Linked DNA regions of Anolis sagrei. The protein of the gene in region 2 interacts with the protein of the main gene of each other region in a pairwise test. Links are inferred from orthologs where the notes say so. Each region holds a gene or a part of one and is shown on either strand. Other genes may lie near its edges.

Region 1 (10,465 bases), about 190 Mb from region 2:
GTCTGTTGATAGGCACTGTACTTTTTTTAAAAAAATGTTATTGTGAACATAATGAATTTGGACAGAAGTGGACATAATTCTATAAATCAACACTGCCTAAATAACTTCAAGACTGAATGTTATTTTGAACTTGGTTCTACTTTATTCAAAATAGGAACAAGATAGTAAGAAAAGTACTGTTTCACCCATTACTTTACCTTAAGATCAACTCCTCTCTAGGGAGAACCTTGAAGTCTGTTTCACTGAGGCGAACCTAAAGAACAAAAACAATAACTTTCAATACTTTCCCCCTGATATTTTATGAAGAGATGAACAGGCACACATATGTCTAAAAACTGTAATTACCTTCTTTGGAAGTGGTTCTTCGTTAGTCATTGTGGATTCTGTGAAAAAGGAGACACTAGCATTACTTGGTCTTTTTACAAAGATAGTAAACATCTGCACACCACATTAAAAATTAAAACTTCACTCCCACTACTCTATAACTTATTGTAAATAACCAATGTACATATAAGAGGGTTGAGGGTGAGAGCTTGTTTCCCAGCACATTTCAAGTGTTTAGGTTAAATTTAAATAAATAATTTGAAGGTCTACATCAGTGGTTCTCAGCCTGTGGGTCCCCAGATGTTTTGGCCTTCAACTCCAAGAAATCCTAACAGCTGGCAAACTGGCTGGGATTTCTGGGATTTGTAGGCCAAAACACCTGGGGACCCACAGGTTGAGAACCACTGATCCACATGAACCTAAAGGATTCTTTTAAAATTCTGTACTCTTTAAACATTTGTCTATAAGCATACTGTATATGATGGTATGTATGGTAACAAAAATAAACAAGTTATTAAATACTGAAGGTCCTTCGAGACTTTTGGCCCATCCAATATATGAGATTGAGAATACATTTCCATATCCAATAAATTTTATTTTGTTTTTTGCTGCCCAAAGTATTCCTTAGTATATATTAATTATCTATTATCCAACTGCATATGCAGAAATGAATACATCCTACTGCGATTCAGGGAAATCACATCCAAAGTTTTCCCAGTTCTTTAGAAAATGTTTTAAGGATGTTCAAGATGAGGGAGGGAAGAATGCTACAGTGGAATGGGAAATTAGATCCACTTCCAATTTTGTTAATAGAATCTGATTACTTGTCCACAAAAGGCCAGTAATATTTTTTATCTAAACACTATACTTTCAAAAGTCTTGTATTCAAGTAAAGACTGGTTATTCCTAAAAGAGATCTCTAAATTGCAGAATGTTGCTTGTGCGGTAGCTTTGTGGAAGCCTACCTTTGTTTATAGTAAATTAAAACCACCCTATATTACTCTACTTCTGTTTGGCATGTGAGGCAAGGCAACAACGAATAGAAGATTCTCTGAAGTAGATATATATGGTACATAAAAGAGAAGGGAAACCTTCTCTTTTAAGCAGCATCTTTCCTGGTTGTGGACAGGCACAACTGGATATAACTTTGAAAGCCTACTATCTCTGAATGCAAAAGTAGTCATTTAGTGCAGAAATAATATTTTATTAACCCCTTTTTATTACATTGACTAACAAAACTTGGTTGTCAGTGTTACATTGCTGATAAGTGAGCTAACTGAAGTGTATGTGGTCTCTACTTATCTGATGCTATTAAGCCACATATGTCAATCTCACAGGTCCAACGAACACTGCAACTTGTTGAGTGCAAAAATACTGTATTGAGACTAGACTGCTTTTTCAATATACTATTCTTATTTTTAAAAAAATCCATACCCAAAAATCTGATCTACGCTTAGCATCCCTCTCCAAGCAACACAACAATCCTAGGCATGGTGTCTTGGCAGTATTAAAATGCTACATTACATAAATGCATATTTGTTCATTCAGGTGTATCGTAAACTAATACCATTGGTCTGTATAGGTGCAGCATCAAGGCACAGGTAGTTCTATATATGAATGGCTGGACTTGTATTATATATTTGTATTAATATGTAAGCACTAGTCCTTTAATGTGAGTGCAAGCTGCCACAAGCATTACATTTAGGGCTGCCCACTGAAGAAATATTTTCAGTTATGGTAGGTAGAGACTTTAAACTGCAGGCTGCATGTCTTGTCAGATAAACATAGCATATACTAACCTGGAATCTGAAACATAATTTATCTGTAAATGTCAAGAAATGATCAGGGATTGTGTACACCTGATATTTGAAACGGCCTTGGACCATGATTTTTGGATTATGTGATTTTACCATTTATATTAATATGTTTTTAACTCCACATTTTAATGTTTAAATGTGGTTACATATTTATGACCAAATCAATAGTTACATGTTATTGTTGTTTTAGGTTAGGTTTCATATGTATGTGAGGCATTCAATTTTGCCATAAATAAGTTGGAAACCACTTTGAGTCCCTCCCTGGGGTGAGAAAGGCAGTATACAAGTCAAGTAAGTAAATAAATTACAATGAAAATTGCTTAGTCTGAAAGAAAGCCTAAAGACCACCCTGGGTTTCTTTAAATACTATTTTTATGCATTATTTGCTGGCAATGCAGCTATTACTATTTAGATATTAGACCAGGGCATGGGCAAACTTGGGCCCTCCGGGTGTTTTGTTGAAATTCAACCCCCACAATTCCTAACAGCCTCTGGCCCTTTCCTTTTTTCCCCTCAGTCGCGTAATCATAATATGAACACTGGATTTAGTATCCCAATAATAGCCTCCTGCTTGAAACTTGGTCGGGCAAAGGATGTCAGTGGGGGAAAGATTAAATGGGTCCCATCTTTAAATGAACGTCTGAACACAACCCAAGCTGTCATTTCCTTTCTGGCTAATAAAATACGGCCATTCGGGCCTTTGCCTGAGTAAGCACACAGCAAGATCACTATTTTAAAGAAAACTGGCAAACGAGGGTAACTCTTGATTCCCAGATAAGCCATCCACACGGCCTTTATTCGCAGAAGCATAAAACTCAGGCGCTGCGTGGGTCCAAATCGTGGCACCAAGAGATTCTCGCAAAAGGCTTGTTCGTATAGGCTTTTTTAAAGGTAACTGGCGTTCTTTGGATGTCGATGGCAAGGCCGAGGCGTAAGGCCCTTTCCCCTCCATCCCTATCGCGCTAGTAAACAAGCCTGTGTTTTGCGGGAAGCGGAAGAAACGCTTCCGGGCGTGGCGGCCTCGGGCCCTCCAAAGAGGAGGGTGGGCGACGCCGCAGGAGCGCCAGAGCAGAGCCCCCCCCCCCCCTCTCCCCAGCCTCCATCTTGCGAAACGGTCGTCTTTTCCTCCCTGAAGCGTCGGGCCTTCATTCCCCCCTTCCTCACCTCAGTGGAGGCGGCGCCGCGAAGGCGTCCTCGTCCTCACTCGTCGTCTCCCCCTCAACCGACTTCCCCTGAGGCAGGGTTTCTCTGTCGCATCAATGAGCCGGAAGCCTCGAGGCAAGGCTTCTTCTCACCCTCCCGGTTGGGGGGGGGAGGAAGAGGGGGGGCTGCAGCACCGCACGCGCTTCCCGCCCGTTCTTATATTTGGGGCTCCTCCGCTGCGCTACAAAATGGCGCCGGCGAGAGCGCAACGAGAGGAGCCGCCTCGCCCCTTCCGCGCCTCGTCCAATCAAAAAGCAGGAACCGCCGGCAGCCCTCAAAGCGGGCCTGGCCCCGCCCCTTCGCTCCCTCTGCCTGCGCGCGCTACTCCCCCCTCCCCTCCCCAGCCCCGCCCGCGCGCCGCCTCGCGCCACCTCCTCCTCCGCACTTACCGGCCCAGCCAGCCACCAACGGACGGGAGTCCTTCGTCTCGCGCTCTTCCAGGCCGCCGCCCTCCTCTCCCCTTCCCCCGCCCTGCGTCCTAACAGTGTTTGAGTCAAGGCCTTTGACTCCCTCTTGCGCTCGGCACTGAGAAGGGGAAGTAAATAAGATTTGCAGAGGGGGAGGGGGGAGCCCCGGGGGAAAGGCGTGATGCGCGCCTCTTGCTTCCCTCCTCGCGCCCGCCAGAGTGCGCACTCGCAAAGCATGCTGGGGCGCTGAGGGAAGCGGCGGAAGGATCCGCAACGGGCCATCTGGCCACCTGCAGGAGTAAACACCAGAAGCGCGGAGGGATATCAGTCCCGTCTGCCCTGGGAGGAATCTTTTGGCTGCCGGAGAAGGGCTGTTGCCTGGATTCATAGTGCATGCAGTACCGGGTTTAAAATCAGAACCATTGAGTTGGAAGAGACCTCGTGGGCCATTCGATCCAGGCCCCTGCCAAGAAGCAGGAAAATCACATTCAAAGCCTCTGTTTAAAAGCCTCCAAAGAAGGAGCCTCCACCATACTCAGACGCAGGGAGTTCCACTGCTGAACAGATCTCGCAATTAGGAAGTGCTTCCTAATGTTTAGGCCATAGCTGTTTGGAAGTGGCCCTAGTCTCTAGAGTAGAAGAAAATATGTGATATTCTTTCAAATATTTAAAAAATGATTATCAAGGATGCTTGCCATAGATGCAGGCGAAACCTCAGGAGAAAATGCCTCTAGAACATGGCCATAGAGCCCGGAAAAACCTACAACAACCCGATTATCAAGTATTTTCTTGGCCTTCTTTTCTTAAAGCATAACATACCCAACACCCTAAATTTCATAGGGCTTGATTTCCAAAGGCATTCTTAATCCATTCCTGATTACCTATGTAGTGCTCACAAAGTGGTGGTTTCTTGGTATTAACATTTTGTTCACATTGCTTTAACATTTTGCTTATAACCAAGGTGAAAGAACAAAGTGCAAAAGCTGGGTTGCAGTTAAACAAACAAAAAAAACCCCAAGATTATGGCTGATTGATAACAAGCAAACATGGAGGCAGTGACAGACTTTGTATTTCTAGGAGTGAAGATTACTGCAGACTGCAGCCAGGAAATCAGAAGATGTTTACTTCTTGGGAGGAGAGCAATGACCAATCTCGACATCACATTGGCAATGAAGATCCACATAGTTAAAGCAGTGGTATTCCACATAGTAACCTATGGGTGCAAGAGCTGGACCACAAGGAAAGCTGAGTGAAGGAAGATAGACGCTTTTGAACTGTGGTGTTGGAGGAAAATGCTGAGAGTGCCTTGGACAGCAAGATCAAACCAGTCCATATTCCAGGAAATAATGTCCTGCTGCTCACTGAAGGGAAGGATATTAGAGGCAAAGATGAAGGACATTGGGCACATAACGAGAAGACAGGAAAGCTTGGAGAAGAGTATGACTCTGGGGAAAATGGAAGGAAAGAGGAAGAGGGGCCGACCAAGGGTAAGGTGGATGGAGAGTATCCTTGAAGTGACTGGCTTGACCTTGAGGGAGCTGCGGGTGGCAACAGCTGACCCATGAAGTCACAAAGAGTTGGAAGCAACTGAATGAATAAGCAACAAAGTTCAGAAGTATTCCTGGTTGTAGATTTACTAACTACTCTAAATGTTTCACTTGATGACACAAGCACTTCACCTTAATTTGGCAGTTAATCATAATCTACAGAAGCGATGTAAGTTTATCATGACTACTATGCATTTATTTATGAGTAAATTTTTAATTATCTGTGGTCAATAATGTGGGAATTATCTCAGACTGAAGAAATAGAGCTCAAGGAGAGAAACAGTAGCTTGTCAAAAGCCTGTTTGCTCAGCAAACTAAATTTCACAACAGAAAGTACTGTTGAGGCAAGCCTGTCCTAACATGTTGCCGTTGCATTTAATCAACATTGAAAGAAAGAAGAGAAAGTGACAGCATGATTACCCACACACATTTCCTAATCAAAACTATTCTAATCTAATACCTTAGCAGCCTGAAAGCCAAAACCAAGGTTACAACATCTGTTATAGAACTCCAGTATGCTGATGACAACGTCATCTGTGCATTCAGAAGAAGATCTACAAGCCACTCTAAACACCTTCGCAGAAGCATACGAGAAGCTTGGCCTGTCATTGAACATCGAGAAAACCAAAGTGCTCTTCCAGCAGTTACTGGCCAATCCCTCTCCAATGCCAGAAATACAGCTTAATGGCGTAACATTAGAAAATGTTGACCATTTCTGCTACCTTGGCAGCTACCTCTCCACAAAAGTCAACATTGATACTGAAATACAACACTTTCCTGAGCTCTGCGAGTGCAGCATTTTTCCGAATGAAGCCTAGAGTGTTTGAGGACCAGGACATCCGTAGGGATACCAAGGGGCTTGTTTATAAAGCTATTGTCCTCCCAACCCTGCTATATGCCTGTGAGACATGGACTATCTACAGATATCACATGCAACTCCTGGAACAATTCCATCAGCATTGGCTCCGAAAAATCCTGCAAATCTCTTTGGAAGACAAGTGGACAAACGTCAGCGTGCTGGAAGAAGCAAAGACCACCAGCAATGAAGTGACAGTCCTCCACCATCAACTCCACTGGACCGGCCACACTGTCCGGATGCCCGACCACTGTCTCCCAAAGCAGTTGAACATCTCTCACAGTCAGGAAGTTCTTCCTTATGTTCAAGTGGAATCTCCTTTCCTGTCATTTCCTGCTCCTAGTCCTAGTTTCCAAGACAGCAGAAAACAAGCCAGCTCTCTCTTCTTTATGACATCTTTTCACTTATTTAAACATGGCAATAACGTCTTTTTTCAACATTCTCTTCTGCAGACCAAACATGCCCAGCAATTTAACTTGAGAGAGTTTCCATTTTAGACTGTGGCACTCAGAATACTCTTTCCAATGCCAGAATCATGAATGGCTATGCTAGCTTTATAATCCCAAGGATACCTCTTCAGCATTCGACACGTGAAGACTGAACACTGTAATAAAGCCAGAAGCCAGCTCAACCCCAGTGTCTACTGCGGCATCAATGACAGCAGGCACACTGTAGGGGGTTCATCTACCAAAATTATATATGGCAGCCTCCTAATATTTCTTTTCTGCATAGTGGGGATGAAGGGGCAGAGATCCAAAATACTCCTTAAATCCAAATCCGAAATGCAGGAGTCCCCTTTCCACTGGAGAGGGCTTGGAAGGACACCACGGAAGTTGGATCTTAAAACTGCAAAAAAGCTGTTTATTGTGTGGCCATACACCCCAGAGTCCCGTATGCACACATACGTGGCAAACTTTCAGTGCCATTTAGGCACAAAGCTATATAGACAGACACAGAAGCAGTTTAACATTCCAGCTTTCTGGCTTCATGAGGGTATGCTCGATTCTGGCCACAGCGGGGAGCTGCCGCTTCACCATCCACTTGTGACACTGAATCCTTTATGGAGTACTTCCTCATTCCTGCACATACTGCTGGAAGGTTTTATGGTGTTGTAAATTAGTTAAATTAGCCTCCCCGCATAAAACGGTACCTAAATTTCCTACTTGACATATGCAACTGTCTTTCGGATTGAAGAGTGGGTGGGCAGGGGACAGTTCCATCCTGTTGGTGACCCCTCCCCCAAGCACCAACTGCCGCTCTGGGCCAGAGTGAAGAGAGGGGGGCCCAGGGGACAGTTCCACCTTGTCTCTTATGCTATGCTAACCATATAATATAATGTAATATAATATAATGTAATATAATATATCTCCAGCAAAGGATCGTGGCGCTGGAGCTTGAGCACCTCAATGATGTCATGAGCGAAACCGTGAAGGGCCACCCAAGACGGGACGGTCAAAATGCTGCTGGGGAGGAGCAGAGGATAAGTTCAACTAGCCTCAGATGTGACGACGCAGCTAGCTCAAAGCCGAAAGGAAGGCTAGCGCCGACGGTACTGGAGGTGAACGACGAATCCGATGCGCTAAAGATCAGCACACCATAGGATCCTGGAATGTAAGATCTATGAGCCAGGGCAAATTGGATGTTGTTATTGGTGAGATGTCAAGACTAAAGATAGACATTTTGGGGGTCAGCGAACTGAAATGGACTGGAATGGGCCACTTCACATCAGATGACCACCAGATCTACTACTGTGGACAAGAGGAACACCGAAGAAATGGAGTAGCCTTCATAATTAATAAGAAATTAGCTAAAGCAGTGTTTGGATACAACCCAAAAAATGACAGAATGATCTCAATTCGAGTGCAAGGAAAGCCTTTCAACATTACATTGATCCAAATATACGCCCCAACCACAGCTGCTGAAGAAGCAGAAGTAGATCAGTTCTATGAGGATCTGCAGGACCTACTGGATAATACACCAAAAAGAGACATTATTTTCATTACAGGAGACTGGAATGCCAAGGTGGGAAGTCAAATGACAACTGGGATCACAGGCAAGCATGGTCTGGGAGAACAAAATGAAGCGGGGCGCAGGCTGATAGAATTTTGCCAGGAAAACTCGCTGTGTATAACGAATACTCTCTTCCAACAACCTAAAAGACGGCTTTATACATGGACCTCACCAGATAGTCAACACCGAAATCAGATTGATTACATCCTTTGTGTATAACGAATACTCTCTTCCAACAACCTAAAAGACGGCTTTATACATGGACCTCACCAGATGGTCAACACCGAAATCAGATTGATTACATCCTTTGCAGCCAAAGGTGGCGGACATCCATCCAGTCGGTGAAAACAAGACCTGGGGCTGACTGTAGCTCAGATCACGAACTTCTTATTCCTCAGTTTAGAATAAAACTAAAGAGAGCAGGGAAAATACACAGACCAGTTAGATATGATCTCACTAACATTCCTAGCGAATATACAGTGGAAGTGAAGAACAGATTTGAAGGACTAGATTTAGTAAACAGAGTCCCAGAAGAACTATGGACAGAAGTCCGTGACATTGTTCAGGAGGCGGCAACAAAGTATGTCCCAAAGAAAAAGAAAACCAAGAAGGCAAAATGGTTGTCTGCTGAGACACTGGAAGTAGCCCAAGAAAGGAGGAAAGCAAAAGGAAACAGTGATAAGGGGAGATATACCCAGTTAAATGTGCAATTCCAGAGGTTAGCCAGAAGAGATAAGGAACTATTTTTAAATAAGCAATGCATGGAAGTGGAAGAAGACAACAGAATAAGAAGGACAAGAGACCTCTTCCAGAAAATTAGAAACATTGGAAGTAAATTTCAGGCAAAAATTGGTATGATAAGAAACAAAGATGGCAGGGACCTAACAGAAGCTGAAGAGATCAAGAGAAGGTGGCGAGACTATTCAGAAGATCTGTATAGGAAGGATAATAATATCGAGGATAGTTTTGATGGTGTGGTGAATGAATTAGAACCAGACATCCTGAAGAGTGAGGTTGAATGGTCCTTAAGAAGCATTGCTAACAACAAGGCAGCAGGAGACGACGGGATCCCAGCTGAACTGTTTAAAATTTTAAAAGATGATGCTGTCAAGGTGATGCATGCCATATGCCAGCAAATATGGAAAACACAAGAATGGCCATCAGACTGGAAAAAATCAACTTATATCCCCATACCAAAAAAGGGAAATGCGAAGGACTGCTCAAAATTCCGTACAGTGGCCCTTATTTCTCATGCCAGTAAGGTAATGCTCAAGATCCTGCAAGGAAGACTCCAGCAATACATGGAGCGAGAGTTGCCAGATGTTCAAGCTGGGTTTAGAAAAGGCAGAGGAACGAGAGACCAGATTGCCAATATCCGCTGGATAATGGAGAAAGGCAGGGAGTTTCAGAAAAACATCTATTTCTGCTTTATTGACTATTCTAAAGCCTTTGACTGGGTGGATCATAATAAATTGTGGCACGTTCTTGGTGGGATGGGCATACCAAGCCACCTTGTCTCTCTCCTGAGGAATATGTACAAGGACCAAGTGGCAACAGTAAGAACTGACCACTGAACAACCGACTGGTTCAAGATTGGGAAAGGCGTACGGCAAGGCTGCATACTCTCACCCAACCTTTTTAACTTGTATGCAGAACACATCATGCGATGTGCGAGGCTTGATGAATGCAAAGCTGGGGTGAAAATTGCTGGAAGAAACATTAACAACCTCAGATATGCAGATGACACCACTCTGATGGCCGAAAGCGAGGAGGAGCTGAGGAGCCTTCTAATTAAGGTGAAAGAAGAAAGCGTAAAAGCTGGGTTGCAGCTAAACATCAAAAAAACCAAGATTATGGCAACAAGAATGATTGACAACTGGAAAATAGAGGGAGAAAATGTGGAGGCCATGACAGACTTTGTATTTCTAGGTTCAAAGATTACTGCAGATGCAGACTGTGGCCAGGAAATCAGATGATGCTTACTTCTTGGGAGGAGAGCAATGTCCAGTCTCGATAAAATCGTAAAGAGTAGAGACATCACACTGGCAACAAAGATCCGCCTAGTCAAAGCCATGGTATTCCCTGTAGTAACCTACGGATGTGAGAGCTGGACCTTAGGGAAGGCTGAGCGAAGGAAGATAGATGCTTTTGAACTGTGGTGCTGGAGGAAAGTCCTGAGAGTGCCTTGGACTGCGAGAAGATCCAACCAGTCCATCCTCCAGGAAATAAAGCCCGACTGCTCATTGGAGGGAAGGATATTAGAGACAAGGCTGAAGTACTTTGGCCACATCATGAGGAGAC
Region 2 (10,454 bases):
TAATGTTTTTTTTAAATGTTTTATGGTGTTTTGGGGCCTCGAATCGTTGCCATTGTAAACCGCCCTGAGTCGCCTAAGGGCCGAGAAGGGCGGTATACAAATATAGTAAATAAATAAATAAATAAATAAATAAAAGAAGCATTGTCTCCTGATGTTTCGCCTGCATCTATGGCAGGCATCCTCGGAGATTGTGAGGTCTGTTTGAAACTAGGAAAATTGGGTTTATAGATCTGCGGAAAGTTCAGGGTGGGGGAAAGAACTGTTGTCTGTTGGCGGTAGGTGTGAATGTTTCAATTGCCCACCTTGATTAACTTTTGATGACCTGACAGTTTTTAGGTGTGACTTGTTCCTGCCTGGGGGAATCCTTTGTTGAGAGGTGGCCAACTGTTCCTGATTGTTTCTTGTCTGGAGTTCCCCTGTGTTTGAGTTTCTGAGGCAGTTTTTGCCTGACACAACCCTTGTGCGTGCTTAGGAGCCTTCAAGGGACATTTCAGATCGGGGATGATCTCATCCAAAGGGAAGGTTTTATGATCCTAGCCCTTGCTGTCTATTAATCTGGTGGAAGAGGATGGTGGAGGGAGAGAGTTCCCCAGGCTGGAGAGGGGAAATGCCCACCTCCAGCAACCCGTTCCCTAAGGACATTTTCCCCTGAATTAATCCCCCGCCTGAAGTTTTCCTTCATTCCTCAGATTTCGAGAGACACTTAACATCACTGACACCTAGAACTCTGTTGTGGTTTGCTGTCTTCGCGTTTTCAGAGTCATTTTGCGGGCCCTTTTCTCTGCATGCCTGAACGGTATTCCTAAATGCTTTTATTGACACGACTTTGAGAAACTGCAAGACGCTTCTAGCGTGAGAAAATTGGCCGTCTGCAAATAAGTTGCTCAGAGCACAACCGGATGCTTTACCATTCTGTGGGAGGCTTCTTTCATGTCCCGTATGGGAAGCTGGAGCTGACAGGCGGGAGCTCACCCCAACCCGCCCTGGTGTTTCTATGATGCTAGAAATGTGGTACTGGAGGATCCTCATTGAGGGGTGGAAACCTTCTCACTTGTGCCTGTCCCTCGAAGCTACACAACTAGTATTTTTAAATTTATTTTTAATTGGTGGGGCATGGGGGGTACCCATAAACACTGGGGGCTGAATCCACTCGCTCCTCCCAATTAAATGAAGACCGAAATGTAACCTCTGGGTTCAAACTAGAAACATAGAATCCTAGAATTGGAAGAGACCTCATGGGCCATCCAGTCCAACCCCTTGGCAAGAAGCAGGAAAATCGCATTCAAAACACCCCGACAGATGGCCATCCAGCCTCTGTTTCAAAGCCTCCAAAGAAGGAGCCTCCACGACACTCCCGGGGTTCTTCCTCATATTCAGGGGACTCTCCTTTCCTGTAGTTTGAAACCATTCTTCCGCTTCTGTTTAATCCCCCCCCCCCCCCCCGGGGTCAGGAGCTACTTGAGAAACTGCAAATGACTTCTGGTATGAGAGAAATGGCTGTCTGCAAGGACTACCCAGGGGATGCCCAGATGTTTTGATGTTTTACCATCTTTGTGGGAGGCTTCTCCCGTGTCCCCACATGGGGAGCTGGAGCTGACAGAGGGAGCTCATCCGCTGTTAAGCCGCTTTGAGTCCCCTTGGGGGAGATAAATAATGATGATGATAATAATAATAATAATCTGCGTTTGAGGATGCACCTTTAAGTCGCCTCTCCACCTCTCCTTTTCTACTACTGATAGTCTTTAGCAGATTTGGGAGGATGGTGATTCCATGAATTTCAAAAGACATGTCACAGATGGATTTGTTAGTGCCTTCTCCGCTCCGAGTCCCTTGTTGGGAGATGGGGCAGGGTATAAATAAAGTTTTATTATTATTCTCGCCTGGTTTTAATTGGCGATCTCCCCTCTAAGTATTAACCAGGGCCGCCCCTGCTTAGCTTCCAAAATCAGAGAGGATCTGGGCAAAATCCCATCCCTCCTCCCAGTTGGAGTGAATGGATAATAAGACCACTTATTATGCCAAAGCTGACGCAACCCATTGGCTTCATGGATCCTGCCGGGCGTGTGTGCCTACCAGTTGCCTGCCCATTTATGGCGACCCCGAGGATTTCCCTGAAATACAGCCTACAGTTACAAACACCCGACTTACAAACTACTCAGAGTTGAGAAGGCGACTGATTTTTTTTTCTCGAGTGTGATGAGAAATCTAGAGAAGAAATCCACTTAAAATCCGGTTTCTGCCTCCTGTAGAATTCTGGAGTTTGTAGTTTAGGGAGGGGCCTTTAACAGCCTCCCTAAACTACAAACCCCAGAATTCTGCAGGAGGCAGGAACCGGATTATAAATTGATTTTTTTCTCTGGTGTGATGAAGTGGTAGAGGAAGGGAAATTCCCTGCTGAAGCTTTCTCACCAATCCTTGTTTCCACAACAAGCCATTTTTTGCAAAACCCAATTGTCACAGGGACAGAAAGTGAAGTGAAGAGAGGCATTGTCCGTAGACACCTCCAAGGTCATGTGGCCAGCATAACTGCACGGAGCAGTCAACAAGCCATTTCCCCCTCCAAAAAACCCAGTTGTCATAGGGACAGAAAGTGCAGTGAACTCTGGTGAACAGAGGCACAGAGAGCAAAACATATATATTTGGCTGGAGTTACGCTTAAAAACTGTTCCTGTTCCGACTTATATACAAATCCAAGTTAAGAACAAGCTTATAGAACAGGCATGGGCAAACTTGGGCGCTCCTGGTATTTTGGACTTCAACTCCCACCATTCCTAAAAGCCTCAGGCCCTTTCCCCCTCAGCCGCATAAGCGAAAAGGAAAGGGCCTGAGGCTGTGAGGAATGGTGGGAGTTGAAGTCCAAAACTCCTGGAAGGCACCAGCTTGCTCATGCCTGCTACTGAACCTATCTTGTTCACAACTCAGTGGCTACCCATCCAACTACCAACCAAGGTCGGCCCTGCTGAGCTTCCAAGATCAGATAGGATTTTAGCCCCACTTACCTTGGTTGCGGAGGGCCTGTTGTCCCTCGAGGCAGCTGGGCAGGTAGGGGCCCTGGGGGAAGAGGCGCGCCTGGGCGGGGGGCGCCTGGCTGGAGGGCGGGGGCGGCGGCGGCGGCGGAGGGGGCGGGGGCGCCCCGTAAGCCCCATAGCGACAGGCGCCGGCTGTGCCCGTGAACTGTCCCGAGAAGTGGACGGTGAAGGCGCTGAGGCACTGCTCCTCGTGGGGGTCCGAGGCGCTCCAGCTGGGCTCCTGCTTGATGAAGGCTGAGGGGGGCGGCGGAGGATGGGGCGGCGGAGGGGGGCCGGCCAGCGAGCCGTAAGCGGCGCCCGAGGGGAAGTCCAGCACGGGGCCCCACTGCGCCGGCATGGGGCAGCCCCCGTTGCCCGGGGGAGGAGGCAAAAGCGCGTTGAGGTCGCGCACGTCGGAACCCATGGCCTCCGCCGAGCCCGCTTTGCGCCGCGCAGGGAACCACTCTCCGCCGCAGGAGGAGGAAGAGGAGGAAGGCTTGCCCCAGGCGCTGAGGGGCTCCGGAGGGAGGCACCAAGTTGAGGAAGAGGAGGAGGAGGTGGCGGCGCTGCTCGGGAGCCCCTTCGGGACGGGCAGCCCAGCCCCCGGGTCCAGCCCTGCCAGCGCCAGGGCGAGGTTGGCCTCCAGGGTCGCCCTTTGGGCCCCGAAGGAAGGAAGGAAGCAAGCAAGGCAGGCAGGGAGGGAGGCAGGGAAGCTCCGTGCTCGGGAGGCAGCAGGAGAGTGGCTTCTCCTCGCCGCGCCGGCTTTGCCCTCCGAGTCCCCAAAACTCCGCCAAGTGAGGCGGGGGAGGAGCCAGGCCCAGGCACGCTCTCTTCCCCCCTCCCCCCTCCTACGCGCGTGGGCGGTGACACGGCCTCCCCTCCAGCTCAAGGGCCGCAACCCGGCCACGGGACACCACGCTCTCCCCGCGCCACTTTCTCTCCCGGGGACTCAGGAAGCCGAGGGTGTTCAACACGGGACGCAGCACTCTCCAAATCCACCGATTCCCCCCCCCCCCCCCCACACACACACACGTCTCTCCCGCTCGGAATTCCCCTTCGGAATTGGGGTGGGATTCCCAAACGAAGCCTAGGCTAAGGCTGCCACTGCCTCGCCTGCTGAGAAGAGACAGTCTCAGGCAGGCATCCTCAAACTGCGGCCCTCCAGCTGTTTGGGCCTTCAGCTCCCAGAATTCCTGACCACTGAACAAACTCGTTAGGGTTTTTGGGAGTTGGAGGCCCAAAGAGGTGGAGGGCCGCAGTTTGATGATGTCTGATCTCAGGCTTCGGAGGCTGCTGAGGGGGAGGATAAATAACCCATCTAAGAGGGCTGAATGAATGAAAAGTAATGCCTCCGCCTTCGTAACTCCTCAACAGATGGCAGTACTTGTATGCGGCAGGTACTGGCTTGTTCAGTAGACTCTCCTATACAGTTCCATTTTGGCAGGAAGCCTTAGTGTTGATTGTTATGGTCGGTAAATGTGACTTAAGCAACGTGCAGTCTTGACAGCAGAAAGTGTCACCTCAACATCTTTAAACTTACTCGCCTAATGACGCACAGTACTCACATCAACACAATCACCATAAACAGCTTGCATTCTCTGATTAATCTTCTTTGGGGTGACACCTTGTGCTGTCAATAATTCAATGACTACTTAAGTCGTATTGACAGACCTTGGCGCAGGTTCCATACTTTGCACTTTAACAACACAACCGTTCAATGCTAAGGCTTCCCGCCAAAATGGAACTGTAGGGGAGAGTCTACTGAACGAGCCAGTACCTGACGCATTCCAGTACTGCCATCTGTTGAGGAGTTACGAAGGTTGGAGGCATTACTTTTCATTCAACCCTAGTACACTGCCAGAGAAAATCCAGATCATCCGCTTTGCACTGGATGGTATTAGTCATACTGCCATATATTCCAGTACACGCCGATAATCTGGTATTGATCTGGCTTTGTAGACGGGGCCATGGACTCCGAAGGTTTAGTGTAGGAAAGGGAGGACAGGAGTGTGGGAATGGGGTTTCCTCGGTGGAGGGTGAGTTAAATCTTGTAGACGGGGGAAATGCCTCTTGGGAAGGCACCCAAGGCTACTTTGCATGTCCAACCACAGGTGGAAATCCGGACAGTCGTACTGATCAAGATTGCTTCATCAAATTGGATTGTCCGCGTCCAACCTGAGCTGCATACATTAAGACTCCGTTCTTTTTACCTTCTACCTCAGAGGGGTAGGCACTGGGGCCTCTTCCCAAATCCCATCCTTTCAAAGTAAAAAATAAGAAGACCCCGCTTTCAGTGAAGCGCTTCACTGTTCTGCCAATGTGGATCCCATCTCTATAAACTGCGGAATAAGTATTTTAGGAGCTGGTGGGACTCATATGTTGCTCAAAGGATTGAGCTTCAATTAATTTCGCCCAGAGCCCGCAGTGGGGAAAGTCCCTTTTTACGAATGCCAGGGAGCCTTTTCCCCATTCCGTCCACCCGTGGCAACAAGAGCCTCGTAGAATGCTTTGAACAGCGTTGAATTGGAGGGATTTTCCTTAGTGTTCTTCACCAAACAACTATAACTTTCAGGGGATGGAAAATAACAATCGGGATTCAAGCCACTTCCGGAGCAATGGGTTCAACTCTTGTGCTGACAGGACTGAAGACTGACAGGTCAGAGGTTCGAATCTGTGGAGAGCACGGATGAGCTCCCTCTGTCAGCTCCAGCTCCCCATGCGGGGACATGAGAGAAGCTTCCCACAAGGATGGTAAAACATCCGGGCGTCCCCTGGGCAATGTCCTTGCAGACGGCCAATTCTCACACACCAGAAGCGACTTGCAGTTTCTCAAGTCGCTCCTAACAAGAAAAAAAAGGGCGGGCTGAGATTTGGCGCGGATCTGAATGAGGACTCTGGGAGGTCTGGGTTAACGTCTTCAACTTTGGAAACCCACCGAGTGGCCTTGGGCAAGTCACACTCTCTCGGCCCTTCTGAACAAATCTTGCCAAGGAAGTCTCTGCAACGTCTGAGTGCAAAAGTATTGAATTCGTGGTTTTACATGTGTGATATTGCCTACCATTCGGAATTTTAAACCATAGAAGACGTTATTTGAGAAAGTCAAATACTTTTTTGGAGGATAAGAACTCAAAGGCTCTAAACATTGTAAGCCCCGCTCTAGGGAATGCATCTACATTGTAGAGTTAACGCAGTTCAATGTATTGTCGAAGGCTTTCATGGCCAGAATCACTGGGTTGTTGTAGGTTTTTCGGGCTGTTATAGCCCAAGAACCTCACAACCTCTGAGGATGCTTGCCACAGATGCAGGCGAAATGTCAGGAGAGAATGCTTCTAGAACATGGCCATTAACTTTTCAACTCCCCGTGGCCCCATAGCATTGAGCCCCATGGCAGTTCAAATGAAGCCAAACTGCCTCAGTTCTAACGTGATGAGCCCAAGGTTGCAAGAACGCTTCTATGGCCTCATCGCACTAGAGAATGAATCTGCTTTAAATCTGGTTTCTGCCTCTAGCAGAATTCTGGGTTTGTAGTTTAGGGAGGCCTTTAACAGCCTCACTAAACAACAAAACCCAGAATTTTGCAGGAACAGAAACCGATTTAAAGTGGATTCACTCTCTAGTGTGATGAGTAGTAAATACAAGAAACTGGGAAATAGTGGGCAGAGAGAGCCTTTAGGTGGGGTGGTTCAAATGTAGACAACAGTTTACTGCAAATTCCTCGATGGAAAGGAGAGGCTCAAATGCCGGACAATGGGGAAAGGGGTTGAATTCAATTATTTAAACGTGCCTGAACCAACATTCATTTTAGGTTGGCTGTACTTGAGTTATCTGAAGGAAGAAATTTTAAAAAGAGGGAGGAAGGAAGGAAGGAAGGAAGGAAGGAAGGAAAGTGTCCAGTAAATGAGATTACCTCCTATCTAGAGCTCATTGAGATGTATTTATGCCAGCTCCTGCTTATTTGTTTCTCACCCACATAGAGGGTAAACCTTTGTGCCAGCAGAACTGCTGAACTAAAGGTCGGGGTCGGCTGTTCGAATCCGGGGAGCGGGGTGAGTTCCTGTCTGTCAGTTCCAGCTTCTCATGCAGGGACATGAGAGAAGCTTCCCACAAGATGGTAAAACATCCGGGCGTTCCCTGGTCAACGTCCCTGCAGAGGGCTAATTATTTCACACCAGAAGCGACTTCTAGTTTCCCAAGTCCCTTCCGACGCGATAAAAATTATTTAATTTTCTTCTGACATGTGTATTTTTCTGCTCCAGATTTCCCGATCTAGCAAAAAAAAAACAAAAAAAAAAACAAACATCTGGGCCACATCCATCCCTTTTAAAAAAATCATAGTTATGAAACTTTCCTCAGAGTAAACCGTTGTGGCAAACAGACCCTGGGTGCATTTCCACTGTTGTATGAATGCATTTGGACACCACTTTAACTGCCATGCCTGGATGCTATGGAATCCTGGGAGTTGTAGTTTTACACGATCAGGATTGCTGTGAATTTTCCAGGGCTGTATGACTATGTTCCAGAAGCATTCTCTCCTGACGTTTCGCCTGCATCTATGGCAGACATCATTAGAGGTTGAGAGGTCTGTTGAAAACTAGGCAAGTGGAGTTTATATATCCGTGGAAAATCCAGCCTAGTTTTCAACAAACCTCACAAGATCTGAGGATGTCTGCCACAGGTGCAGGCGAAATGTCAGGAGAGAATGCTTCTAGAACATGGACATACAGCCCGGAAAACTTACAGAAACCAGTGATTCCAGCCATGAAAGCCTTCGACAGCACATTTTTACAAGATCCTTAGCAGAAGAATTCTGGAGCCCCAGTTGCCCTTGTGCGTCAGAAGTTTGAATCCAGGGAGAGTGCGGATGAGCTCCATCTGTCAGTTCCAGCTTCCCATGCGGGGACATGAGAGAAGCCTCCAACAAGAATGGTAAAACATCAAAACATCTGGTCATCCCCTGGGCCAGGCCCGTAGCCAGGATTTCGTTTCGGGGGGGGGGGGGGGCTAAAAAATGTCAAGGGGGGTTTCGGGGGATGGCTGAGTTTTGGGGGGGGGCTGAGTCTGAGTGAAAGAGGGTCTACCTAGCAAACGTTTTGTATCATTACCCCAATACCCCCATGCATATGGGATATATTGAGTATGGTGATCAGATCATGATATGAATAAACATAACAGTTTAAATAATGCACCAGTAAGGCCTTTTCGCGAACCACCATGAGAATTTCGGGGGGGGGGGGGGCTGAAGCCCCCCGAGCCCCCCCCCCCCCGGCTACATGCCTGCCCTGGGCAACATCCTTGCAGACGGCCAATTCTCTTACACCAGGAGAGACTTGCAGTTTCTCAAGTAGCTCCTGACAAAAAAAGTACAAACCCAGGATTCCAAAGAGTCATAGCAGTTAAAGTGGTGTCAAACTGCATCAATTCCACAGCGTAGATGTGGATGGCGACAAGTTTGGCATTCACCCACACATTTTCCTGTGAAAAGGCCCGTGGAAGTGGGTGAGTCCCACTTGTGACTATTGCGAGCCTGAAGATGGCAGGCTGGGCTGTTTCTAGCATCTGGCTCCGATGACAGCTCCGAGCAGGGGGAAGAAAATCCCAGTGCCATAAACTTACTGGTGTATGTTACAGGAGAGGAAGCAAAAGGTTGCAAATCACTCTTCTGGTGTCACTTGCAATTTTTCAGCGAGTATTAAAGACCCCTCGTTAACAGAGCACTCTCTTGGGGACCGGGTTCCTTGGTACATCAAAAGGGCAGCATCTACAATTTCAGGATGACCTTATCACCACAATAACATCCACAATTCATGGAGAAATGTTCCCTCTCCCCCCCAAAAAAGAACACCAGTGACAGTTTATGCACGCGGAATGTTTGGTAGTCATTTTTCCTTTGCTTGTTTTAAGCATATGTGAGATATTGTACTGCCCTGAAATTTTAATTCGGCTGATGGGTTTATAGTGTCCACGGATGCATCTACACCAGGTATGGGCAAACTCGGGCCCTCCAGGTGTTTTGGACTCTAACTCCCACCATTCCTCACAGCCTCAGGCCCCTTCCTTTTCCCCCTCAGCCGCTTACGCATCTCCCCTAAAGTAAAAACTCCCCTAAAGCAATAACACTGTCGTCCTCGCAGTATCAAACCACCACTCCATGTTATCAACAGGTGAGATTATTTTTCCCAGGTCAAAAGGAAAGAGTGCCAAATCGGGCCTCTTTTCCTCCAAAGAGAGGCGCTTCGCTTCAATGGGAAACGAGAAAGGGGAAAGATTTTTGGGGGGGGGGGGGGGGAACAACTCCATCTGACATAGAAGACCAGAGACATATTTCATCTTGAGGCAAAGAACAAAATGGGTTGCTGTGAGTTTTCCAGGCTGTATGGCCATCTTCCAGAAGCATTCTCTCCTGACGTTTCGCCTACATCTATGGCAGGCATTTTCAGAGGTTGCCCCTAGTTCTATTCCTGCACATCTACACTGTAGAATTAATACAGTTTTAACTGCCATGGCTCGGTACTATGGAATCCTGGCCGTTGTAGTTTGGCGAGGCACCAGCACTCTGTGACTCTTCCATGATTCCATAGCACTGAGCCGTGACAGATAAAGTGGAGTGAAACTTCATCAATGCTACACGTAGATCCACTCTGGGCCAGTATGGAAGGTCTGGAACTGCTGACACTCTATTGTTCTAGAGCAAAAGAGGTTGTCCAGAGGAAGACCTCGAACCGATACAACAAAAACATCTATTTTCTAGGATTATTTTTAAAATCCGAATGAGGAAGATGCTTTGGTGCTCAACCACTGCCTCCCGCGTCAATCCGGTTTCGGGAAATCGGTCTTTCTCATCGAGGAAAAGGCGATTGGTTTGTGTGGCGAAGGAAAGGTGTAACCACCCGATTTCTTCCCGGCGGTTTTGAGACCACCAGAAAAGACCGATCTCACTCTTGTGTGGCGTTCATCCCTTTGATTCATTCAAGCCATATCGTTGTAATGAACAGCTGGATTCAAAGTTCCCAATTAAGGAAGGAGATGGATTATTTTCTATCTGTATAGGTGCCTTCAAGTGTCCTGTCGATTTATAGCAACCCCACTTCCTTCTTCTGAAATCAAATCTTTCATGTTGTGCCTTCAAATAGTTTGTGACCCAAGGCTTTCTTCACCAGATTGGTTCAAAGGGCCCTTCGCTGACGCTGAGAGAGTGTGACTTGTCCTGGGATTCTTTGGCGTCTCCCATCCAAGGACTACCCTGGGGGGGGGGGGGAGAGAAGGGCGGGGTATAAATATAGGAAATAAAAAGGAAAGAAATAAACAAACGTTGTGACCACAACATCTGAAACCCAACATTTATTTCAGTTTGTCTCCAGGGTCCTGAAAGATCTGTTTACATACTAATCCAGATTAACACGGCTCTGTCTTTGAATCCAAAATCATTGACTTGGCTAGTTGGGGGAA
Region 3 (10,361 bases), about 250 Mb from region 2:
ATGGCCATCCAACCTCTGCTTTAAAGCCTTCAAAGAAGGAGCCCCCACCACATTCCGGGGCAGAGAGTTCCACTGTTGAACAGCTCACACAGTCAGGAAGTTCTTCCTAATATTCAGATGGAATCTCCTTTCTTGTCATTTGAAGCCATTGTTCCATTGCGTCCTAGTTTCCAGGGCAGCAGAAAAAAAGCTTGCTCCCTCCTCCCTGTGGCTTCCTCCGCCATATTTATACATGGCTATCATATCTCCTCTCAGCCTTCTCTTCTTCAGGCTAAACATGCCCAGCTCCTTAAGCCTCTCCTCATAGGGCTTGTTCTCCAGACCCTTGATCATTTTAGTCGCCCTCCTCTGGACACATTCCAGCTTGTCAATATCTCTCTTCAATTGTGGTGCCCAGAATTGGACACAGTATTCCAGATGTGGTCTGAACAAGGCAGAATAGAGAGGTAGCATGACTTCCCTGGATTTAGACACTATACTCCTATTGATGCGGGTCAAAATCCCATTGGCTTTATTTTGCTGCCACATCACAGTGTTGGCTCATGTTTAACTTGTTGTCCATGAAGACTTCAAGATCTTTTTTTCATAAATAAATCAAGAAGAGGCTTTTTTTCTCTTTTATTGCTTTCTTTCACTCTTTTTCTCTGCACCTGTTTGTTTGTATTTTTGTACTTTTCAATATAAAAATTAATGTTTAAAAATCTCCATAAGCATGAGTGTTCATTTAGAGCCTTTCAGTTGGCAGGCGCTTGGGGATCCCCTTAAGAAAAGAGGCATGGTCACGCAACCATTTAAACTATTGATGCTCCTACAGCCCTTGCAATTTTGCTAAGTGGGAAAACATTACCCACCATGAAAAACATAAAGGACCGAGGAAGAAGAATGCCAGGTCCGAGTTTCTCCAGCACTTACTGGAGAAACTTCAGAGATTCTCATTATACCAGTATATTTAATGGTAAAGCAATTAAGGTGTGGTGTGGATGAAAGAGAAAACCCTGCAATACAAAGAGGGTGAGAGTGAAGTTAAGGAAAGTTTTCCCACATATAGAAATATACCGCTCCTGGATGCTATCTGTTTATGATGAGGCTGTAGAAAAGGAGACAGAGTTATGCAGACCTCCAAATATTCTTGGACTGTAACTACTTGTTATAGTCTAAGCTGGCTAGGGCTCTTGGAACCTCAAGAGTAGTCATGGGCCCAGTATTTGTCTCATTTGTTTATTTCATGTTTTTGTTTCGTACCTTTGCCACCAATAGGCTGAAAATATTCTTTTTCGGACCTTGGATGGAAAAGCTCATTTGGAAAGGCGCTTGTTTTTGGGATAGGTGCTTGAAATTAAGACTCATCCCACCAAATGGGGAAGGAGTTGCAAAATTAAAAACAGAAATATAAAGGGAGATATGTGTGTGTGTGAATCATCTCTTCCTCCCACATTTTATTATTATATTATTATACTTACCTTATTTATTTATTTATTTATTTATTATCATCTCTTCAACGGTCTGGAGAACAAGCCCTATGAGGAGCGGCTTAAGGAGCTGGGCATGTTTAGCCTGAAGAAGAGAATGCTGAGAGGAGATATGATAGCCATGTATAAATATGTGAGAGGAAGTCACAGGGAGGAGGAGGGAGCAAGCTTGTTTCCTGCTTCAAACTACAAGAGAGGAGATTCCATCTGAACATGAGGAAGAACTTCCTGACTGTGAGAGCCATTCAGCAGTGGAACTCTCTGCCCCGGAGTGTGGTGGAGGCTCCTTCTTTGGAAGCTTTTAAACAGAGGCTGGCTGGCCATCTGTCAGGGGTGATTTGAATGCAATATTCCTGCTTCTTGGGAGAATGGGGTTGGACTGGATGGCCCAGGAGGTCTCTTCCAACTCTTTGATTCTATTATTCTATGGTTGTTAATGTTTCTTCCAGTAATTTTCATCCCGCCTTGCATTCCTCAAGCCCCGCACATGTGTTCTGTATACAAGCTGAATGGGTTGGGGGAGAGTATACAACCCTGCCGTACACCTTTCCCAATCTTGAACCAGTCTCCTGTTCCGTGGTCAGTTCTGACTGTTGCTCCTTGGTCCTTGTACAGATTCCTCAGGAGAGAGACAAGGGGGCTTGGGATGCCCATCCCACCAAGAACTTGCCACAATTTATTATGATCCACACAGTCAAAGGCTTTAGAATAGTCAATGAAGCAGAAGTAGATGTTTTTCTGAAACTCCCCGCCTTTCTCCATTATCCAGCGGATATTGGCAATCTGGTCTCTCGTTCCTCTGCCTTTTCTAAACCCAGCTTGAACGTCTGGCCACTCTCGCTCCATGTATTGCTGGAGTCTTCCTTGCAGGATCTTGAGCATTACCTTACTGGCATGAGAAATAAGGGCCACTGTGCGGAAGTTTGAGCAGTCTTTCACATTTCCCTTTTTTTGGTATGGGGATATAAGTTGATTTTTTCCAGTCTGATGGCCATTCTTGTGTTTTCCATATTTGCTGGCAAATGGCATGCATCACCTTGACAGCATCATCTTTCAAGATTTTAAACAGTTCAGCTGGGATCCCGTCGTCTCCTGCTGTTTTTGGGATAGGTGCTTGAAATTATAACTCATCCCACCAAAAGGGGCAGGAGTTGCAAAATTAAAAACAGAAATATAAAGGGAGGTGTGTGTGTGTGCGAATCATCTCTTCCTCCCACATTTTATTATTATATTATTATATTGACCTTATTTATTTATTATCATCTCTTCCTCCCATATTTTATTATTTTTATTATTTTACTGACACAAAAACAGTATGTCACAGCAAACTGGATTTCGTATCACAAAATCACAAGTCAAACATTTCCCAAGCGTCTGGGATTTATTTATTTATTTATTTACTTTGCTTCTATACCGCTGTATCTCAAGCCCGAAGGCGACTCACAGCGGTTCACAAACAGTAAAAACAGTAGAAACAGCAGTGGTGCCATGCAACATATAACAATTGACTTAACACATTATCCATAAATTACCAATAAGCAATTACAATGCACAATTATTACGAAAAACAACCGTACCCAATCTTCTCATCATCCAAGCGTAGTCCAGGTTCGTCGTCCATTGTTCCATTCCTATGTTCCATTACCAGATTGCACTAAATTACTCAAACGCCTGCACAAACATCCAGGTCTTCACCTTTTTGCGGAATACCATTAGAGATGGTGCTAGTCTAATGTCCGTAGGAAGGGCGTTCCACAGCCGAGGAGCCACCACCGAGAAGGCCCTATCTCTCGTCCCCGTCAGCCGAGCTTGAGAAGCAGGCGGGATCGAGAGCAGGGTCTCCCCGGAAGATCTCAAAGTCCTGGTGGGTTCATAGGCAGAGATGCGGTCAGATAGGTAGCTTGGGCCAGAACCGTTTAGGGCTTTAAAGGCCAACGCCAGCACTTTGAATTCAGCCCGGTAGCAGATCGGTAGCCAGTGGAGTTGGCGCAACAGGGGGGTTGTATGCTCCCTGCGCTCCGCTCCTGTTAAAATCATGGCTGCCGAGCGTTGGACTAGTTGGAGTTTCCGAGCTGTCTTCAAAGGCAACCCCACATAGAGAGCGTTGCAGTAGTCTAAACGGGATGTAACCAGAGCCAAGTCAGACTTCCCAAGGTATGGGTGCAGCTGGCGCACAAGCTTTAGCTGTGCAAATGCTCCCCTGGTCACTGCCGAAACCTGGGGTTCCAGGCTCAGCGATGAGTCCAGGGTCACACCCAAGCTGTGAACCTGCGTCTTCAGGGGGAGTGCGGCCCCATCCAACACAGGCTGTAACCCTATGCCCTGTTCGGCCTTGCGACTGACCAGGAGGACCTCTGTCTTGTCTGGATTCAATTTCAATTTGTTCGCCCTCATCCAGACCGTCACAGCGGCCAAGCACCGGTTCAGGACCTGGACAGCCTCCTTAGTAGCAGGTGGAAAGGAGTGACAGAGTTGGACATCATCCGCGTACAGATGACACCGTACCCCGAAACTCCGGATGATCTCCCCCAGCGGCTTCATGTAGATGTTAAACAACATGGGAGACAATATTGAGCCCTGAGGAACCCCACAAGACAATGGTTGTGGGGTTGAACAGGTGTCCCCCAACAACACCTTCTGAGATCGACCCTCCAGGAATGACCGGAGCCACTGCAAAACAGTACCTCCAAGACCCATCCCCGCGAGGCGTCCCAGAGGGATACCGTGGTCGACGGTATCGAAGGCCGCTGAGAGGTCCAGCAGCACCAACAGGGACACACTCCCCCTGTCGAGCTCCCGGCGCAGATCATCCACTAAGGCGACCAAGACTGTGTCAGTTCCATGCCCCGGCCTAAAGCCAGACTGTGCCGGGTCTAGATAATCCGTGTCTACCAAGAATACTTGGAGTTGTGAGGCCACCACACGTTCCAAGACTTTGCCCAAGAAGGGGAGATTGGAAACTGGCCGATAGTTGTCGAATTTAGTGGGGTCCAGTGATGGTTTCTTCAACAGCGGTTTTATTATAGCTTGTTTTAAGCTCGCTGGAATCTTGCCTTCCCGAAGGGAAGCGTTAACCACCACCTTAACCCACTCAGCCAATCCCCCTCTGGCCTCCTTTAGAAGCCAGGATGGGCAGGGGTCCAGGATGCATGTGGTTGGCCTCATTCCTCCAAGTATCTTGTCCACATCCTCGGGTTTCACCAATTGAAATGAATCCATCAAAACTGGACAAGCAGGTGCTCATGTTACATCCTCAGAGACTGCCATTAACATGGTATCCAGACCAGAACGGATCAAAGCGACTTTGTCTGCAAAGAACTAAGCAAAAGCTACACAGCGAGAAGTCGAATCGTCAGGGTTCCCACCTTGAGTGGTGGGATTTAAAAGGCCTCTGACAATTCGGAACAGCTCAGCCGGATGGTTCTTTGCAGACGCAATAGTAGCCGCAAAGAAGGCCTTCTTTGCGGCTTTTATTGCCGCGGCATATGCCCTTAAAAAGGACACAAACCGTGTTCGATTTGGCTCACTCGGATCCGAACGCCACACACTCTCTAGTTCCCTCTTCCTTCGCTTCATCGCTGCCAGCTCCTCGGTGAACCAGGGATTGTGTGATGTATTTTCGAATTGATGCGTATAGATCCAAGTCAGGTGGCCTTTTGTAGTTGACAGGTCGTGATTTTGTCAATGTTTATTGTTTCCAAATGCTGGCTGAGATCTTTTGGCACAGCACCCAGTGTGCCAATGACCACTGGGATCACCTGTACTGGTTTTCGCCAGAGCCCTTGCCATTCAATTTTGAGGTCCTGATCACGGCTGAGTTTTCCTGTTTTTCATTGTTTTTCCTCAATGTGACTGTCTCCTGGTAGGGTGACATCAATAACCCAACAGTTTGAGGGACTGTGATCTGGCCCTCTGTTTAAAAAGTTCGAGGACCCCTGCCCTAAATGGTTCTGGTCCAATTTACCTGTACGAATGCATCTTCCCTTATGAACCATCTAGGACTTTAAGATCGTCTGGGGATGCCCTGCTCCGGGTTCTGCCTTCATCAGACGAAGAAGACTAAGCTTTCTACAGGAGCTCTTGGTATTACGTCCTGCACGAAAGGCTTCTCTGTGTGGACTGAATCCCAAATGACTCCTATTCCCTTTGTTGTTCATTCGTTCAGTCGTCTCCGACTCTTCGTGACCTCATGGACCAGCCCACGCCAGAGCTCCCTGTCGGCCATTACCACCCCCAGCTCCCTCAAGGTCAGTCCAGTCACTTCAAGGATGCCATCCATCCATCTTGCCCTTGGTCGGCCCCTCTTCCTTTTGCCTTCCACTTTCCCCAGCATAATTCCCTACAAAACCCAAAAAGGGGGCAGGGCCAGGGAACCTAACTATAATTGACAGGTGGCTTGCCCTATGATTGCAGCCAAAAGAAGCCACCTATCTGCAGAGTCCCTGAAACTTAGGACTACAACAAACATTCTGTGCAAAGCAAACAAAATTGGAGCTCCTGGTACAACTGTACCTGCACAGTTGTACTGGATCACACATCGCACAATTATTATTATTATTACTATTTAAAACTTCCTCCAAAGTCCTCCCAGACTCACCAGCTTCATGCTTCACCCCAGGCTCTGTTTGTGGCATGCAGTCTCTTCCTTCCTGTTTCCCAACCGGAAGTGCTTCCCGAAGCATCCTGGGAAGTGTAGTCCTTCTCTCAGCCTCCTAATGATTCAGGAGAATGAAGTCATGGGCGGCCATCTTGTCCTGCCAGCAGCAGAGCACGCCGGGAAGCGTAGTCTCTACTCCCTCCTCCCCGCCTCCCTCCTCCAACCGCCGTCTAATCAGCGTCGGCGCAAGGCATGCCGGGATGGGTAGTTCCCAGCGGCGACTTGGCGCCTGCACCCTGGGGGAGGCGGAACTACAAGTCCCAGGGCCTCCCCGCGGCGGCAGGTGGGAGCTTGGATGTTGATATCAACATGGCGCTTGTCAGGCAGACAAAGGCAGTCAGGCTGGTCTGATTGAGGGCAGGGAAGCTTCCCCTCAACTTCTCCTCTTCAGGGCTCCAGAAGAAGGCTCCAGGTGAGGCCCATCTTATGCTAGGGCAGAAAATCAAGAGTTGTTTCTGAAAGGAGATTTTGGAGGAAAAGGGAAAGAAACAGGAGAGATTTGGAAGGAAGAAAGTGGCTCCTTCCCAAAGTGACTTTGTGGGGAAATGTCAACAGAGTTTTGGGGAGGAAGGACAAGAAGAGGTTGGTTTTCCTCATTCTCTGAGGAAGAGAGGCTTCCTCTTTGTGGGATATAGATATAGAGAGAGAGTTTAATCTATCTATACTATATACACATCCCCTTTGCAGGGGAAGGTTTGTTTTCTTCCTCTCTGAGGTAGAAATACTTCTTTTGAACTAGCTGTTTTGTGGGATATATATTTATAGTATAATATGTCTATATCTATTATATATAAATCATATATCTCTATCTATATCCCCTTTGCAAGAGAAAGAGATAGTTCTTTTGAAGTAGCTATTTTGTTGGATATAAATTTATAGTATAATATGTCTATATCTATATATATATATATATATAGAGAGAGAGAGAGAGAGAGGGGGGGAACCATATATCTCTATCTATATCCCCTTTGAAGGGGAAGGTTTGTTTGCTTCCTCACTGAGGAAGAGATACTTCATTTGAACTAGCTATTTTGCTGGATATATATTTATAGTATAATATATTTATATCTATAATATAGATAGATAGAGATATATAACCAAGGGAAGGTTTGTTTGCTTCCTCACTGAGGAATAGATACTTCTTTTGAACTAGCTATTTTGCTGGATATGTATTTATAGTATAATATATTTATATCTATAATATAGATAGAGATATATAACCAAGGGAAGGGTTGTTTTCTTCCTCACAGAAATAGAGAGACTTATTTTGGACTTGCAATTTTGTGTGATCTATATCCATCTATCTATATAGTATACTGTCTCTCTATGGATATATATAGTATATTATATGTATATCTATCTATATCTATATATCTCCCCTTTGCAGGGGAAGGTTTGTTTGCTTCCTCACTGAGGAATAGATACTTCTTTTGAACTAGCTGTTTTGTGGGATATAGTATAGTATATTTATGCTAACCCTTCCATTGGGAAAATAGCTTATTATATTTATCTATCTATCAATATATCCCCTTTACATGGGAAGGTTTGTGTTCTTCCTCTCTGAAGAAGGAGACTTCTTTTGAACTAGTTGTTTTGTGGGATATAGTATAATATATCTATGCTAACCCTTCCATTGGGAAAATAGCTTAGAAAGAAGATACAGTATTATATATCTATACCTATCAATATATCCCTTTTGCACATGAAGGTTTGTTTTCTTCCTCTCTTTTGAACTAGCTGTTTTGTGGGATATAGTATAATATATTTATGCTAACCCTTCCATTGGGAAAATAGCTTAGAAAAAAGATATAGTATTATATATCTATATCTATCAATATATCCCCTTTGCATGGGAAGGTTTGTTTTCTTCCTCTCTTTTGAACTAGCTGTTTTGTGGGATATAGTATAATATATCTATGCTAACCCTTCCATTGGGAAAATAGCTTAGAAAGAAGATATAGTATAATATTCCTATATCTATATATCCCCTTTGCAGTGGAAGGTTTGTTTTCTTCATCACTGAGGTAGAGAGACTTCTTTTGGACTAGCTCTTTTGTGGGATATAGATATCTAGAGAGAGTTTAATCTATCTATAGTATATATACATCCCCTTTGCAGGGGAAGGTTTGTTTCTTCATCACTGAGGTAGAGAGACTTCTTTTGAACTAGCTGTTTTATGGGATATAGTATAATATATCTATGCTAACCCTTCCGTTGGATAAATAGCTTAGAAAGAAGATATAGTATAATATTTCTATATCTATCAATATATCCCTTTTGCACAGGAAGGTTTGTTTTCTTCATCACTGAGGTAGAGAGACTTCTTTTGGACTTGCAATTTTGTGGAATATATATCTATAGTATAATACATCTATATCTATCTGCACTGTAGTTATATATGTGTGTGTGTGTATAATACGCTCTCTCTCTCTCTCTATATATATATATAGTATATTATATCTATATCTATATATCTCCCCTTTGCTGGGGAAGGTTTGTTTGCTTCCTCACTGAGGAAGAAATACTTCCTTTGAACTAGCTATTTTGCTGTATATATATAGTATAATATATCTATATAATATATAGATATATTATACTATATATATATACAGCAATATATATATATATAGAGAGAGAGGGATAATCATATATATCTGTCTATATCCCCTTTGCAGGAGAAGGTTTGTTTGCTTCCTGACTGAGGAAGAGATACTTCTTTTGAACTAGCTATTTTGTTGGATATATATTTATAGTATATTATATCTATATCTATCTATCCATATCTATATCTCTCCCCTTTGCAGGGGAAGGTTTGTTTGCTTCTTCACTGAGGAAGAGATATTTCTTTTGAACTAGCTATTTTGCTGGATATATATTTATAGTATAATATATCTATACCTATGTAATCATATATCTTTATCTATATCCCCTTTGCAAGGGAAAGTTTGTTTCCTTCCTCACTGAGGAAGAGATACTTCTTTTGAACTAGCTATTTTGTTGGATATGTATTTATAGTATAATATATCTATATCTATAATAGACAGATAGATAGAGATATATAACCATATATCTCTATCTATATCCCCTTTGCAAGGGAAGGTTTATTTGCTTCCTCACTGAGGAATAGAAACTTCTTTTGAACTAGCTATTTTGTGGGATATGTATTTATGGTATATCTATCTATCATCTATATCTATATAATCATATCTCTATCTATATCCCCTTTGCAGGGGAAGGTTTGTTTTCTTCCTCTCTGAGAAAGGAGATGTCTTTTAAACTAGCTATTTTTTGGATATATAATATAATATAATATAAATCCACTTGCAGGGGAAGGTTTGTTTTTCTTCCTCTCTGAGAAAGGAGACTTCTTTTGAACTAGCTATTTTGTTGGATATATACATAATATAATATAAATCCACTTGCAGGGAAAGGTTTGTTCTCTTTCTCTCTGAGAATGAAGGCTTCTTTTGAACTATCCGTTTTATTTTCTGTTCTCTATATGTATTTGCAGGGAATAGAATACAAAAGGGTTATTTTCTTCCACTCTGTGGATGAGACTTCTTTTGGACTATCTATTTTGTAAGGTTTGTTCTATCTATTACGTATGCATGCATGCAATTTTTTGCAGGGGAAGTTTTAAAAGACAAGGAGGCGGCTGGCTGCCTCCCTCCTTCCCTCCCACCCTCTCTTTCCCCTTGAAATGAATGCTGTCGGGCAAAGAGATGGAGAGGAAACGTCTCTTTTGGGCGCCTGCTCAAGATCACTCTCCTTGTTGCCTCTTAACTCACTTTGAAGGCTCTTCTCCTGTACAGGAAGGAGCTGGTTTCTTTCCCTCCCACCTCCCCGCCTGCAAAATCTGACATTATTAAGTTGTGATTGCTCTTTTCTGCATCGCGCGAGACGGAAAGAGAGGGGATGGCGGTGGCTCTTCTTCTAGGTTAATTGCTCCGAAAGGGAAAACAAAAAGGAAGGTATGATCATTGTCTTGGATTCTCCCAGCCATCTGGAGAGGCTGGGCTCTTGTCGCGGATGCCCAGATAACATGAAACTCAGCCAGGGAGAGTCATCTCAGTCTGACGGACAGGATTGTTTCCCAACAGATCGGTTCTTTCGTAGGTCAAGGTTGCCGTCCCTCAGGGTATGAGAAAAGTCAAGCAGGGACACACTCGGTTTGTATGTCTACTCAGTGCTGTGTGAATAACATCAGCAAAGTGTCTTGGTTTTGACTGTTAACA

Evidence for each region.
Region 1: the proteins of WT1 (region 2) and WTAP interact in binary tests that used the Homo sapiens proteins (3 or more experiments, as listed by UniProt). The link is inferred for Anolis sagrei from reciprocal best matches to the Homo sapiens genes WT1 and WTAP.
Region 3: the proteins of WT1 (region 2) and HMBOX1 interact in binary tests that used the Homo sapiens proteins (3 or more experiments, as listed by UniProt). The link is inferred for Anolis sagrei from reciprocal best matches to the Homo sapiens genes WT1 and HMBOX1.

What each region holds. Positions count from the first base shown.
Region 1 is NC_090021.1:68,269,400-68,279,864, reverse strand, and holds the start of WTAP (pre-mRNA-splicing regulator WTAP), read right to left. Parts: upstream 3,980-10,465; 5' UTR 3,734-3,979; intron 3,576-3,733; exon of another isoform or gene 3,306-3,575; intron 384-3,305; 5' UTR 376-383; coding exon 346-375; intron 254-345; coding exon 198-253; intron 1-197. UniProt on the Homo sapiens protein: Associated component of the WMM complex, a complex that mediates N6-methyladenosine (m6A) methylation of RNAs, a modification that plays a role in the efficiency of mRNA splicing and RNA processing.
Region 2 is NC_090021.1:257,604,956-257,615,409, reverse strand, and holds the start of WT1 (Wilms tumor protein), read right to left. Parts: upstream 3,829-10,454; 5' UTR 3,433-3,828; coding exon 3,000-3,432; intron 1-2,999. UniProt on the Homo sapiens protein: Transcription factor that plays an important role in cellular development and cell survival. Recognizes and binds to the DNA sequence 5'-GCG(T/G)GGGCG-3'. Regulates the expression of numerous target genes, including EPO.
Region 3 is NC_090021.1:8,090,077-8,100,437, forward strand, and holds the start of HMBOX1 (homeobox-containing protein 1), read left to right. Parts: upstream 1-6,382; 5' UTR 6,383-6,538; intron 6,539-10,005; exon of another isoform or gene 10,006-10,097; intron 10,098-10,361. Other genes in the region: INTS9 (integrator complex subunit 9), read right to left, coding at 6,067-6,075. UniProt on the Homo sapiens protein: Binds directly to 5'-TTAGGG-3' repeats in telomeric DNA. Associates with the telomerase complex at sites of active telomere processing and positively regulates telomere elongation.